Canis lupus familiaris: one gene and its partners. The protein of the gene in region 1 interacts with the protein of each later gene in a pairwise test. Links are inferred from orthologs where the notes say so. Each region holds a gene or a part of one and is shown in the gene's direction. Other genes may lie near its edges. The genes, in order: SH2B1, NTRK1 and INSR.

Region 1 (3,423 bases):
TTGAAGGACGGAGCGGGGATGGTGCAGAGGGAAGAGCTGCTGAGTTTCATGGGGGCCGAAGAGGCAGCCCCTGACCCAGCAGGAATGGGCCGGGGAGGAGGGGCAGCCGGGCCTACCTCAGGGGGAGGAGGGCAGCCTCAGTGGCAGAAGTGTCGCTTACTGCTCCGAAGTGAAGGAGAAGGAGGAGGAGGAAGTCGTCTGGAGTTCTTTGTACCGCCTAAGGTGAGGCTCCGACAAGGGTGGGTACCCGGGAGCGGGGCAGTTGAGCCCATGTGCATAGTTTTGCTCACTTTGATTTTTTTAAGATTTTTATTTATTTGAGAGAGAGAGTATGTAAGAGAGAGAGCATGAGCAGAGGGAGGGGTAGAGGGAGAAGCAGACTCCCCACTGAGCAGGGAGCCCAATGCAGGGCTCAGTCCCAGAACCCCAGGATCATGACCTGAGCCGAAGGTAGACGCTTAACCAACTGAGCCACCCAGGCATCCCCTCACTTTGGTTTTTAAAGCCAGCTTCTGACTCTGGGGTAGTAGTTGTGGGCAGGGCTGGAAAAATAACATTATGACCCTTTGTCTAACCCCCTTAGGGCATAGAAGGAAAGATGGGTCTCTGGAAGGAAGTGAAAGGTGGTTCCTGCACACCAAAAGTTTGGATCCTGTTCTCTTTCCCAACTTAGGCGTCTCGGCCTCGACTCAGCATTCCCTGCTCTACCATCACGGACGTGCGGACAACAACAGCCCTGGAGATGCCTGACCGGGAGAATACGTTTGTGGTTAAGGTAGGAGCTCCGAGCTCCTGCCCCCTTTGGAGCACTTGTGTTGGGGAAGAAGTTCACGTAGCTCATTGAAGGAAGGGACTTTGTGGAAGGAGGTGCCTGTGTGTCAAGTGCCTTGAGAGTGTGTCCCTGGGGCTGTAGCTTCTCTAGCAGGAGGGAACAGGAGGAGGATGTTTTTGTTCTTATTAAGGGAGGCTTATAGCCTCTGGACCTGGAAGTGGCCTGTGGGCCTCCTCTTGTCCTCGTAGGTGGAAGGCCCCTCCGAGTACATCCTGGAGACAACCGATGCTCTACATGTGAAGGCCTGGGTGTCTGACATCCAAGAATGCCTGAGCCCAGGGTGAGGAGCCTGACTGCTGTCATTGAGGGGATCAGGAGGGGATGGGGAGCAGCCTTGTGCCTCTCACCTGCTGAGTTTCTTCATAGCACCATTCTCCCTGTCTCTGCAGACCCTGCCCTTCCACCAGTCCCCGCCCTATGACCCTCCCCCTGGCCCCTGGGACCTCATTCCTTACACGGGAGAACACAGACAGCCTGGAGCTGCCCTGTCTCAATCACTCAGAGAGTCTGCCTAGCCAGGATCTGCTGCTGGGACCCAGTGAGAGCAATGATCGCCTGTCGCAGGGTAAGGGTGGAACCTCACAGGGCTGGGAACCTCAAAGCCGCCCCCGCCCCCCGTGCCAGGCCCAGGACTTCCTTCCAAACTCAACTGCGCACCCCATTCCTGCCCCTCAGCTGCACCCCCTACACACCGAATGTCTGGCTTTTGTCCCAAAACGTACCCTGCCACAGTTGGCCACTTAGAATCATCACCATCACCACCTTGCACGAGCCCCAAGCAAACTCCCTTCCAGCCTTCCGTACCCAGCCTTTGCTCCTTTTCTTTTTTTTTTTTTTTTTAAGATTTATTTATTTATTCATGATAGACACATAGAGAGAGAGGCGGAGACACAGGCAGAGGGAGAAGCAGGATCCATGCAGGGAGCCTGATGTGGGACTCAATCCTGGGACTCCAGGATCGCACCCTGGGCCAAAGGCAGGCGCTAAACCGCTGAGCCACCCAGGGATCCCTGCTCCTTTTCTATAAAGCTCGTGCAGACCTCCACTCTGGCTGGAGATAACGACTCTCTTTCCCAAGCTTCTGGAACACTTCATACACGTCTTTGTTTTGCTTTTACTCTGCATCTCTGTAGGTATGTCGATGTTTTTCAGTCAAAAACCAGATGTTTTTGACTCTTTATTTCTTGGCCTGACTGAACATACACAGCCCGACTTGCACACAGGTATGCCCAGAGACATGTGTCTGCCTGGCCCAGCTCTCACCTTTTTAGACTCTATTATTCCCTTTGTCTTGCTCCTCTATTCCGAGTGGAGGTTCAGTGGTGCCTGGCACCCTGGCTGTGCTCACTGAGTAAACAAACAGATTGAACAGTCTTGGAGCTAAGATGGACCTTACAAGTCATCGGTTCTATGCCCCTCAGGCAGCTAAGACCAGGGAGAAGCAAAGGCTTTTCTTTCTTTTCTTTCTTTCTTTCTTTCTTAATATTTTTATTTATTTATTCATGAGAGACAGAGAGAGAGAGAGAGAGAGAGGCAGAGACACAGGCAGAGGGAGAAGCAGGCTCCATGCAGGGAGCCGAATGTGGGACTCGATCTGGGGACTCCAGGATCACACCCTGAGCCAAAGGCAGGTGCTCAACCACTGAGCCACCCAAACATCCCTGGGAAATGGCTTTTCTGAGGGTACCCGAAAGCCCCTGAAAAAGACCAAGGCTATGCAAGTCTGCTCTCTGCCCCCCTGCTCTCCATACCCCACATACACCTGTCTTCTGAGCACTGACTATGTGCTCAGCCTATTCCCACAGGCTCAGGCCTGCCAGCCAGCAGACATTCAGGAATGCCCTAGTCCACAACTGAGCCTGTGCTAGGGTCTGGGGCAGGATGCAGGAACCCAGAGATGCTCGAGATGAGCTCCTTGTCCCAGACCAGCTGAATTGATAAGCTGTCACTCCCTCTGAAAAGTAGGACTCCAGAATGGAGAGCCTGTGCTAGTGTCCTCTGAGCAGCACTAGCAGGAAGCACTGTGGGAGCTCAGAGGAAGAAGGGAATCGAGGAAAGTGGGATAGACAGGATACCACACAGGGGAGGTGAGAGAGAACAGGGCTTAGAGGAAGCAAATGGCCAGAGCCAGACCTAAGGTGGGGAGAGCCTGGGAGCTTGGGAAAATCGGGCGGGATGATCAAGCTCATGTGGAGACTCCAGGAATATAAGCCAATGTGAACATCAAGGTGGGGAGGTTGGGCTGATTAATAGGAGGATCTTTGATGCCTCTGAGACTTGGGGACTTTGTCCTGTAGGCCAAAAAAGGACACTTTTGGGCAGTCCCGGTGGCTCAGCGGTTTAGTGCCACCTTCAGCCCAGGGTGTGATCCTGGAGACCCGGGATCGAGTCCCACATCGGGCTCCCTGCATGGAGCCTGCTTCTCCCTCTGCCTGTGTCTCTGCCCATCTCTCTCTCTCTGTCTCTCATGAATAAATAAATGAAATCTTTAAAAAAAAAAAAAAAAGACACTTTTTAATGTGAGAATACTTGCAGGATTCTTCCCCCAATCCCGGCAACAATCGCTGTCATTTCAGCTATTGATTCATAAA
Region 2 (3,648 bases), on another chromosome or scaffold:
TAGTGTAAATAGATATGTATTCTTCATAGTTTCAAGCATGTCTGGCAATTTTTACTTGAAGAAAGTCACTAAAAATTCATTTCTTTTGCTTTGGACAGAACAATGCTGATGTGTTTACTAGTTTGTGCCAATTATTTTATTTTATTTTTAAAATATTTTATGTATTTATTTATTCATGAGAGATGCAGAGACATAGGCAGAGGGAGAAGCAGGCTCCCTGTGGGGAACCCGATGCAGGACTCAATCCCAGGACCCTGGGCTCATGACCTGAGCCAAACACAGATGCTCAACCACTGAGCCACCCAGGTGGCCCTGTTCAGATAATTTTAATAGTGTCAAGAAATGTGCCCGTTTCACAGAAGAGACTTAAGTGGCTTGCCCAGGGGCACACAGGTAATAAATGGCCCAGGGTGGAGTATGGTCTCCTCTCAACCCCTGACTGCAATCGTCACAGGTTCCCTTTGTTGAGTCCTTCTTGGGTGAGAATCCCCGCCTTCCCCAGGATGGGACAGTATGAGATGTGAGGCAGGCAGGGGGAGGGCCAGGCTTACACTTAGCTGTGAGCTCCTAGCTGAGCCAAGTAGCCTATCTCTCTGGCCTCAGTTTTCCTGCCAGAAGAGGTTCAGCGGGGGACTGTGGTTCTGGATGAGAAAGTGCTGTGTGACTGTCCAGTTCATGTCCAGATGTGGTCTCCAAACACCCCTTTGGGAGTGAAGGGTCACTCACACAGGCTGCAGAATTCAGTTGGGGGAGACCTTAAGAGGTCTGTGGAGGGGGAGGAGAAGCCAGTGGCAGTGGGGAGCAGGAGGCAGGTGATGGGAGACGCCACGATGAGCGTGGAGCCATTGGGCTCAGTAGACTGGAGTCAACAGGAAGCCAGACAGGAGGCCCTTCCCTTGCTCACCAGACACTGCATCGGCTCAGTGCTGAGTGCCTGGGATGCAGGCCAGGGACATGCCACCATCTGGGGCCCAGGATGTGGGAGAAGTGGCTCTCAATACTGGATAGAATACAGGGACCCAAAGGAGGGAATCATGAAGGCTCCTGGATGAGTCTGGAAGGTATTCCCTAGGAAGCCTATCTGTTCCTTCTCACCCCAGGGCCTTTGCACTTACAGTTCCCTCTGCCTGGTACATCAGGTCTCTCTCCCAGCCACTTCACCTACCTCTCTGTCTCTGATGCTTTTATTTTTTTTTTAAGATTTTATTTATTTATTCATGGGGGTGCGGGGCGAGAAGCAGGCTCCATGCAGGGAGCCTGACGTGGGACTCAATCCCGGGTCTCCAGGATCATGCCCTGGGCTGGAGGCGGCGCCAAACCACTGAGCCACCCAGGCTGCCCATCTCTGATGCTTTTAAATGGCTTATTCACCCCTTTTCTTCAGGGTTTGAGTCTCAGTTTATTTTTTTAAGATTTTGTTTATTTATTTGGGAGAGAGAGAGCACAAGTTGGGGGAGCAGCAGAGGGAGAGGGAGAAACAGGCTCTCCACGGAGCAGGGAGCCTGATGTGGAGCTTGATCCCAGGACCCTGGATCCTCAGGATGACCTGAGCTGAAGGCAAACAGATGCTTAACAGACTGAGCCACCCAGGCGCCCCCTTTTTTTCTTTTCTTTTTCTTTTTTAATATTTTATTTATTTATTCATGAGAGACACACAGAGAGAGAGGCAGAGACATATGCAGGAGAAGCAGGCTCCCTGCAGGAAGCCCGATGTAGCACTGGATCCTGGAACTCTGGGATCAGGCCCTGAGCCAAAGGCAGATAGTCAACCACTGAGGCACCCAGGCGTCCCTTGAATCTCAGTTTAAATGTCTCTTCCTCCAGGAAGTCTCCTCTGACTTCTTTCATCCCTAGCCTGAGTGCCCATCAGGTGCCCCTGTTTATCTGTATCCCATTCTCTACTGTAGCTCCGGTGCTTGGCACACCGGAGGTGTTTAGGAAGCCTCTGCCATAAAGGAAGAAATAAAGAGATGAGAAAGTTGGCCTGTGGGAAGGGGCAGTACCCACAAAGCCACTGGCTCGGGCTAGAGTCAGAAGACGGAATATCTGGGGAATGGAGCTGGGTGATCAAGGAATGATCTGAAGTGGTGGCAGTGGGAGGTGGCAGGCATCCTGGAAACTTGAAAAGAAGAAGGATCCCATGGGAGGCTGAACATTGAGGGTGAAGGGGAGAGAGACAGGAGGACCCCCAGGCTTCAGGTTCGGAGCCTGGGTGGGAAGCTTTCCTTCATGGAGGCAGGGGCAGACTTAGGGGAAGCTAAGCATCTGGAGGACAGAGTGGGAGGTATCCATGGGCAAGAGAGGCAGGGGCCAGTGGGAACCCTGATGCTGGGCTCAGAGTTCAAGGAGGTGACCTGGGGGGCTGGGGGGATGTGGGAAGTGGGGGAAGTGGGGGCAGTGGGGGCAGTGGGGGAGGCTCCTGAGGTGGCCCACCTGGCGGCCCCCCTCCCAGGCCCTGCAGACTCGTCTTTCTGTTCCTTCCCTCCTCCCTTCTCTGGAGTCCCCCACTGCCTTCCACCCCAGCTCCCCAGGATCTGGGTCTTCAGCCTCTTGAGGGCTCCCTCCCCAGCCCACCCTCTCTCCCTCACTCTTTGGCAGGTCCCACGGGCCCGACGCCAAGTTGCTGGCTGGCGGGGAGGACGTGGCTCCAGGCCCCTTGGGCCTGGGGCAGCTGCTGGCCGTTGCTAGCCAGGTCGCTGCGGGGATGGTGTACCTGGCAGGTCTGCACTTCGTGCATCGGGACCTGGCCACGCGCAACTGTCTGGTGGGCCAGGGACTGGTGGTCAAGATCGGGGACTTCGGCATGAGCAGGGACATCTACAGCACGGACTATTACCGCGTAAGGGTCCTTGCGCCCAGCCCGGAGGCCCCTCCCGGCACTGCAGGCCCCCCACCCCCGCCCAGCCTCGCAGCCCCTCCCCCTGCACTGCCGACCCCACCCCCTGCGCGCCCTCCTCTTCCTGGGCGGCGTGGGGGCGCGGGCTGTCTGGCTCTGGGCTCCCCGCCCCTTACCTCCCGGCCCGCCTTCTCCGCTCTCGGGGCGCACAGGGACTGCACCGTCGGTTTTTCCCTCTTAGCGCCGGCCCCAGAGCCCCTTCCATTCATCTTTAATGACGGGGCGGGGGCGCGGGACCAGGTGCGCGGTCCCCCTTTCCCCCACCCCCCGCCCCCGCAGTGACGCGCCCCGCCCGCCCGCAGGTGGGGGGCCGCACGATGCTGCCCATCCGCTGGATGCCGCCCGAGAGCATCCTCTACCGCAAGTTCACCACGGAGAGTGACGTGTGGAGCTTCGGGGTGGTGCTCTGGGAGATCTTCACCTACGGCAAGCAGCCCTGGTACCAGCTGTCCAACACCGAGGTCAGCCCGCCCGCCGCCCCGGCCCTGCCCCGGCCCTGCCTCAGCCGGTGCCGCGACCGACCGCGGGGCCTGCCTCCGCACCCCCCACCCCGGCTCCTTGCACTCTTCCCCTCTTCCCTCTTGGATTCTCGCCTCCACTCACCCGCCCAGCCCAGGCCCAGCTGGCTCCTGGGGGAGACTCAAAGAAAGCACTTTCCGGATGGAGCCCAGACTCCGTCCTTAGCTGCATTGTATAGGCGCAGTAGGCACCGTCAGGGTGGAGGGACAGGCATGGGGACAGGGGCTGCTCCG
Region 3 (3,648 bases), on another chromosome or scaffold:
AGCTTTTTCCAGTAGTGCAGAGCGGGCCCCTGGTCCTCACACTGTAGTTTAATTGCATTTGCACGTGGGCGTGCGTGTTTACTGCTCTGCATAACTGTGTTCCCCGTCAGTGGAAGCCACCACTCTAGGAGCCCATAGATGTGACTGGCGATGGATAAGTCGCCACGATTTTCCTGCCCTCATGCAGGAGGTGCTCTTTATCTGCATCCCCCAGCCCCTGGGTAGCCCCTGGCCACCTGTGGCCATTTACATTTAAGGTAACTTAAATTAAATAGAATTGGAAATGTGTTCCTTGGCTGCACTGGCCACATTTCAAGCGCTCAGTCGCCACCTTGAGCCTGCTGGCTGCCATATCGGGCCATGTAAATGTAGACCGTGTTCATCATCATCACAGAACGTTCCACTGGACAGGGCCATTCAAGGGTGAACAGTAACATAGAGCTTGTATAAACAAGATAAGGAAGGCTGGGAAAGGAGTCCTGAAGGGAACACAGAGTTCCTTCGTAGAGAGGAGACACCTCTCTCTGCAGGGAGGCAGGCTTTGGGCCAAAACTTGTAGGATGAGTTGACCTGAATGACAGCATGCCAGGGGGCACTCCAGCATATGCCAAGGCCTGAGGCCAGAAGGATGGTTGATGTGGGGTGAATTTAGAGGAACGTGGAGGAGAACAGACCAGAATGAGATGTGAGGTTAGGGAGAGAGGCAGGAGGCAGACCTGGAAGGGCCTTATTAGTCAATTAGTCACCGAGGTATCATCCCAAGGAGCCAGTAGGAAGCTAGAAGTGATGTGATCCTATTTATGACCCCAAAACGACATTATCAGCAAGGGAAGCCAGAAGTGGTGGCATCCTCCTTATAATCCCCAAAGACCTCTTCCCTTAGCCATGGGAAACAAGAAATAGTATGATCCTGTAGCTTCTCTTGTGCAGTGGACTGTCCGGGTCAGGATGGGGGGAAGGTCCTGCAGGTGAAACTGGCAGTGAGCCTGGGGCGGGGCTGGAGTGATGGAGAGGAAGAGTTGGATTAGAGCAGGATGTGGAAGAAGAGTGGGTAGGACGCGCTGCTGTTGTAGATGTGGGTATGAGGAGAGAGGTCAAAAGGGGACCCAATCCTGGGTTTTAAGCTGGGCATCTGGGTGGTGGGGGGCCCATACCTAGCAGAGAAGAGCATGTTGGCTGCAGAGACCCAAAACTTCGGTTTGGGATAACTGCAAGGTCATGGGTGGGAAGGAAGTATTGCTGAGAATGGGATTCCCAGGCTGTGGGCCAGAATGTTGCTTCTTGGCCACTTGGTGCTTCCTTATCCTTCCCCTTACCTGGTGGTCCACTCTCTCCCTCTATTTCCCCATGAGTACCCTCAGAATCCATTCTCACTGGACTTGACCGCCACCTAGGTGAGCATACACCTGGGGCAGGTGAGCCCATCTGAAGGTTCTCCAAGGCATGGGGCAGTAAATATGGAGACACCTGGACTGTAGGCTAAGGGTTAAGACCATGTGAATCATTTGTTGTCAGACTTTGGGATGACCAGAGACATCTATGAGACGGATTACTATCGGAAAGGAGGCAAGGGTCTGCTCCCCGTGCGGTGGATGGCACCGGAGTCCCTGAAGGACGGGGTCTTTACCACTTCTTCTGACATGTGGTGAGTTGTGCATGGATTGGCGGACAGAATGCTGGGCTTGAATACCAGGTCCTCCCACCAGTGTGACCGGCAAGAGGGGGCCAGTTAAAACCCGCCTTCCTTCCTCATAGGCTCTTGATCCGGGAAGTGAAGGGGATGTCCTGTCTGAGGACCCTTGCACGGCTACTTGTGATCCGATTGACACTAATATAGGCATTTCTGAATGCAGCATGAATTGTTTAATTAACTGGCCAACCGCGTTCTAGGAAACCAAGAAAGGGGGCATGTGTTTGTGTGTGTGTGTGTGTGTGCGTGTGCTCTAATGGCTTTTTTGTTACTACTTTCAACTGTCGTTGGCAGGTCCTTTGGCGTGGTCCTTTGGGAAATCACCAGCTTGGCAGAGCAGCCTTACCAAGGCCTGTCTAATGAACAGGTGTTGAAATTTGTCATGGACGGAGGGTATCTGGATCAACCCGACAATTGTCCAGAGAGAGTGTAAGTGTAGAAAGAGTGCAGTGCGCGGGCTCTTCATCAAAAAGGCATCACCCTTTGGTTTGTGTGTCTTACGTCTACACGTGAGCTGGTGTTAGCATGTTGTGTCTTCGCATGGACACTTTTTTGCACATCATACTACATATATGCACGTCACATCTTTACACGTGTGCTGTCTTGCATATCATGTCTGTGGAAGGCTATAAAGAAACCCCACAGCAGTGGTTACCACGGGAGAAGGCAACTGGGTGGCTGGGGTGGGATATTTCTGCTTAACTGTCGATCCTTTATATACTTTACATTTTGTCAGGGAATTAATATAATCTGACATATCAATTATATCTCAACAGAATTGGGAAAAAAAATCATAAGCATAAACATTAGAATTATTTTTTGGTCAGGGAGATGTGTTACCTATCTCCCCACTCCCCCAATTTTTGTTGTAAATTTTAGTCATAGAAAAAACAATTTTTTTTGTTATAGGACCAAGACACACAAACAGGCCATTAAACACTTCCAGACTTGTCCAGTCTTACTAATAGTCTGATAAACATAAAGTAAAATGAAGGAAAATACTATCTTCCTAAATTAGCAAAAAAAGGGAAGGAAGAACAAAAGAAAAGAGAGCTTTAATACTCTGTGCTGGCAGTGGTTTGGCTAGATAATCCTTCTTATCCCCCTGTTGTTAATAGCTGCTCAGAGCAATGTTATTTTAAAATTGTATTTATTTATTTGAGAGAGCGAGAACACATGATCAGAGGCAGAGGGAGAAGCAGACTCCCTGCCAAATAGGGAGCCCGACATGGGGCTCGATCCCAGGACCCTGAGATCACAACCTGAGCTGAAGGCAGACACTTAACTGGCTGAGCCACCAGGTGCCCCTAGAGCAATATTATTTAAAGTCTCAAAAAGATTGAAGTGATCTAAATACCCAGCAACAGGAGAACTGCCAAGTAAATTTATAAATTAAAATGATGTAGCAATTGAAATTTTAAATGATGCTTATAAAAATATTTTACAACTTGGTGGATAAGCCTATGTTAAAATGTTAAGTGTAAAAAGTGTGCATCTATTGTTTCCAAATGTCTCCAGATAGAAAAGGCAAGAGGTGAGATCTGTAGGAGAGTTGAGTGCAAACTAAATTTTCTTCATGTTTTGGTTCTACGAGATTGTTTGCATATAATGTCCTTTATCAATGTTTCTTAAGAAAAAAGTTTCCCCTCCTGGAAAATTCAGGGGGAAAGACCATTTGGAGGCTTCATCCCCCAAAGAATAAGACTGTTAATTTAGAAAACTCGTTTGGAAGGGGACCTCATAGGAAAAAGTATGAAGCAGAGTTATTTAGAAACTCTGAGCAGTTATTTCTAAATGTTGCTTCTTGAAAGTCCTTTCCTAGCCATGAGCAGCTGCCTGTAGTTTCAGGACCAGGGAAATGAAGTAGGCCCTAGGGCAGGGGTCCATAAATTTTCTTTTTTCTTTTTATTTATTTGACAGAGAGCCAGAGAGCACAAGCGGCAGGAAGGGGCAGAGGG

Evidence for each region.
Region 2: the proteins of SH2B1 (region 1) and NTRK1 interact in a two-hybrid assay, tested with the Homo sapiens proteins (2 studies listed by BioGRID). The link is inferred for Canis lupus familiaris from reciprocal best matches to the Homo sapiens genes SH2B1 and NTRK1.
Region 3: the proteins of SH2B1 (region 1) and INSR interact in binary tests that used the Homo sapiens proteins (3 or more experiments, as listed by UniProt). The link is inferred for Canis lupus familiaris from reciprocal best matches to the Homo sapiens genes SH2B1 and INSR.

The regions. Positions count from the first base shown.
Region 1 is NC_049227.1:18,541,072-18,544,494, forward strand, and holds part of SH2B1 (SH2B adapter protein 1), read left to right. Parts: coding exon 1-222; intron 223-673; coding exon 674-775; intron 776-1,020; coding exon 1,021-1,112; intron 1,113-1,221; coding exon 1,222-1,397; intron 1,398-3,423. UniProt on the Homo sapiens protein: Adapter protein for several members of the tyrosine kinase receptor family.
Region 2 is NC_049228.1:41,123,316-41,126,963, reverse strand, and holds part of NTRK1 (high affinity nerve growth factor receptor), read left to right. Parts: intron 1-2,598; coding exon 2,599-2,839; intron 2,840-3,198; coding exon 3,199-3,357; intron 3,358-3,648. UniProt on the Homo sapiens protein: Receptor tyrosine kinase involved in the development and the maturation of the central and peripheral nervous systems through regulation of proliferation, differentiation and survival of sympathetic and nervous neurons.
Region 3 is NC_049241.1:52,431,186-52,434,833, reverse strand, and holds part of INSR (insulin receptor), read left to right. Parts: intron 1-1,515; coding exon 1,516-1,645; intron 1,646-1,984; coding exon 1,985-2,119; intron 2,120-3,648. UniProt on the Homo sapiens protein: Receptor tyrosine kinase which mediates the pleiotropic actions of insulin.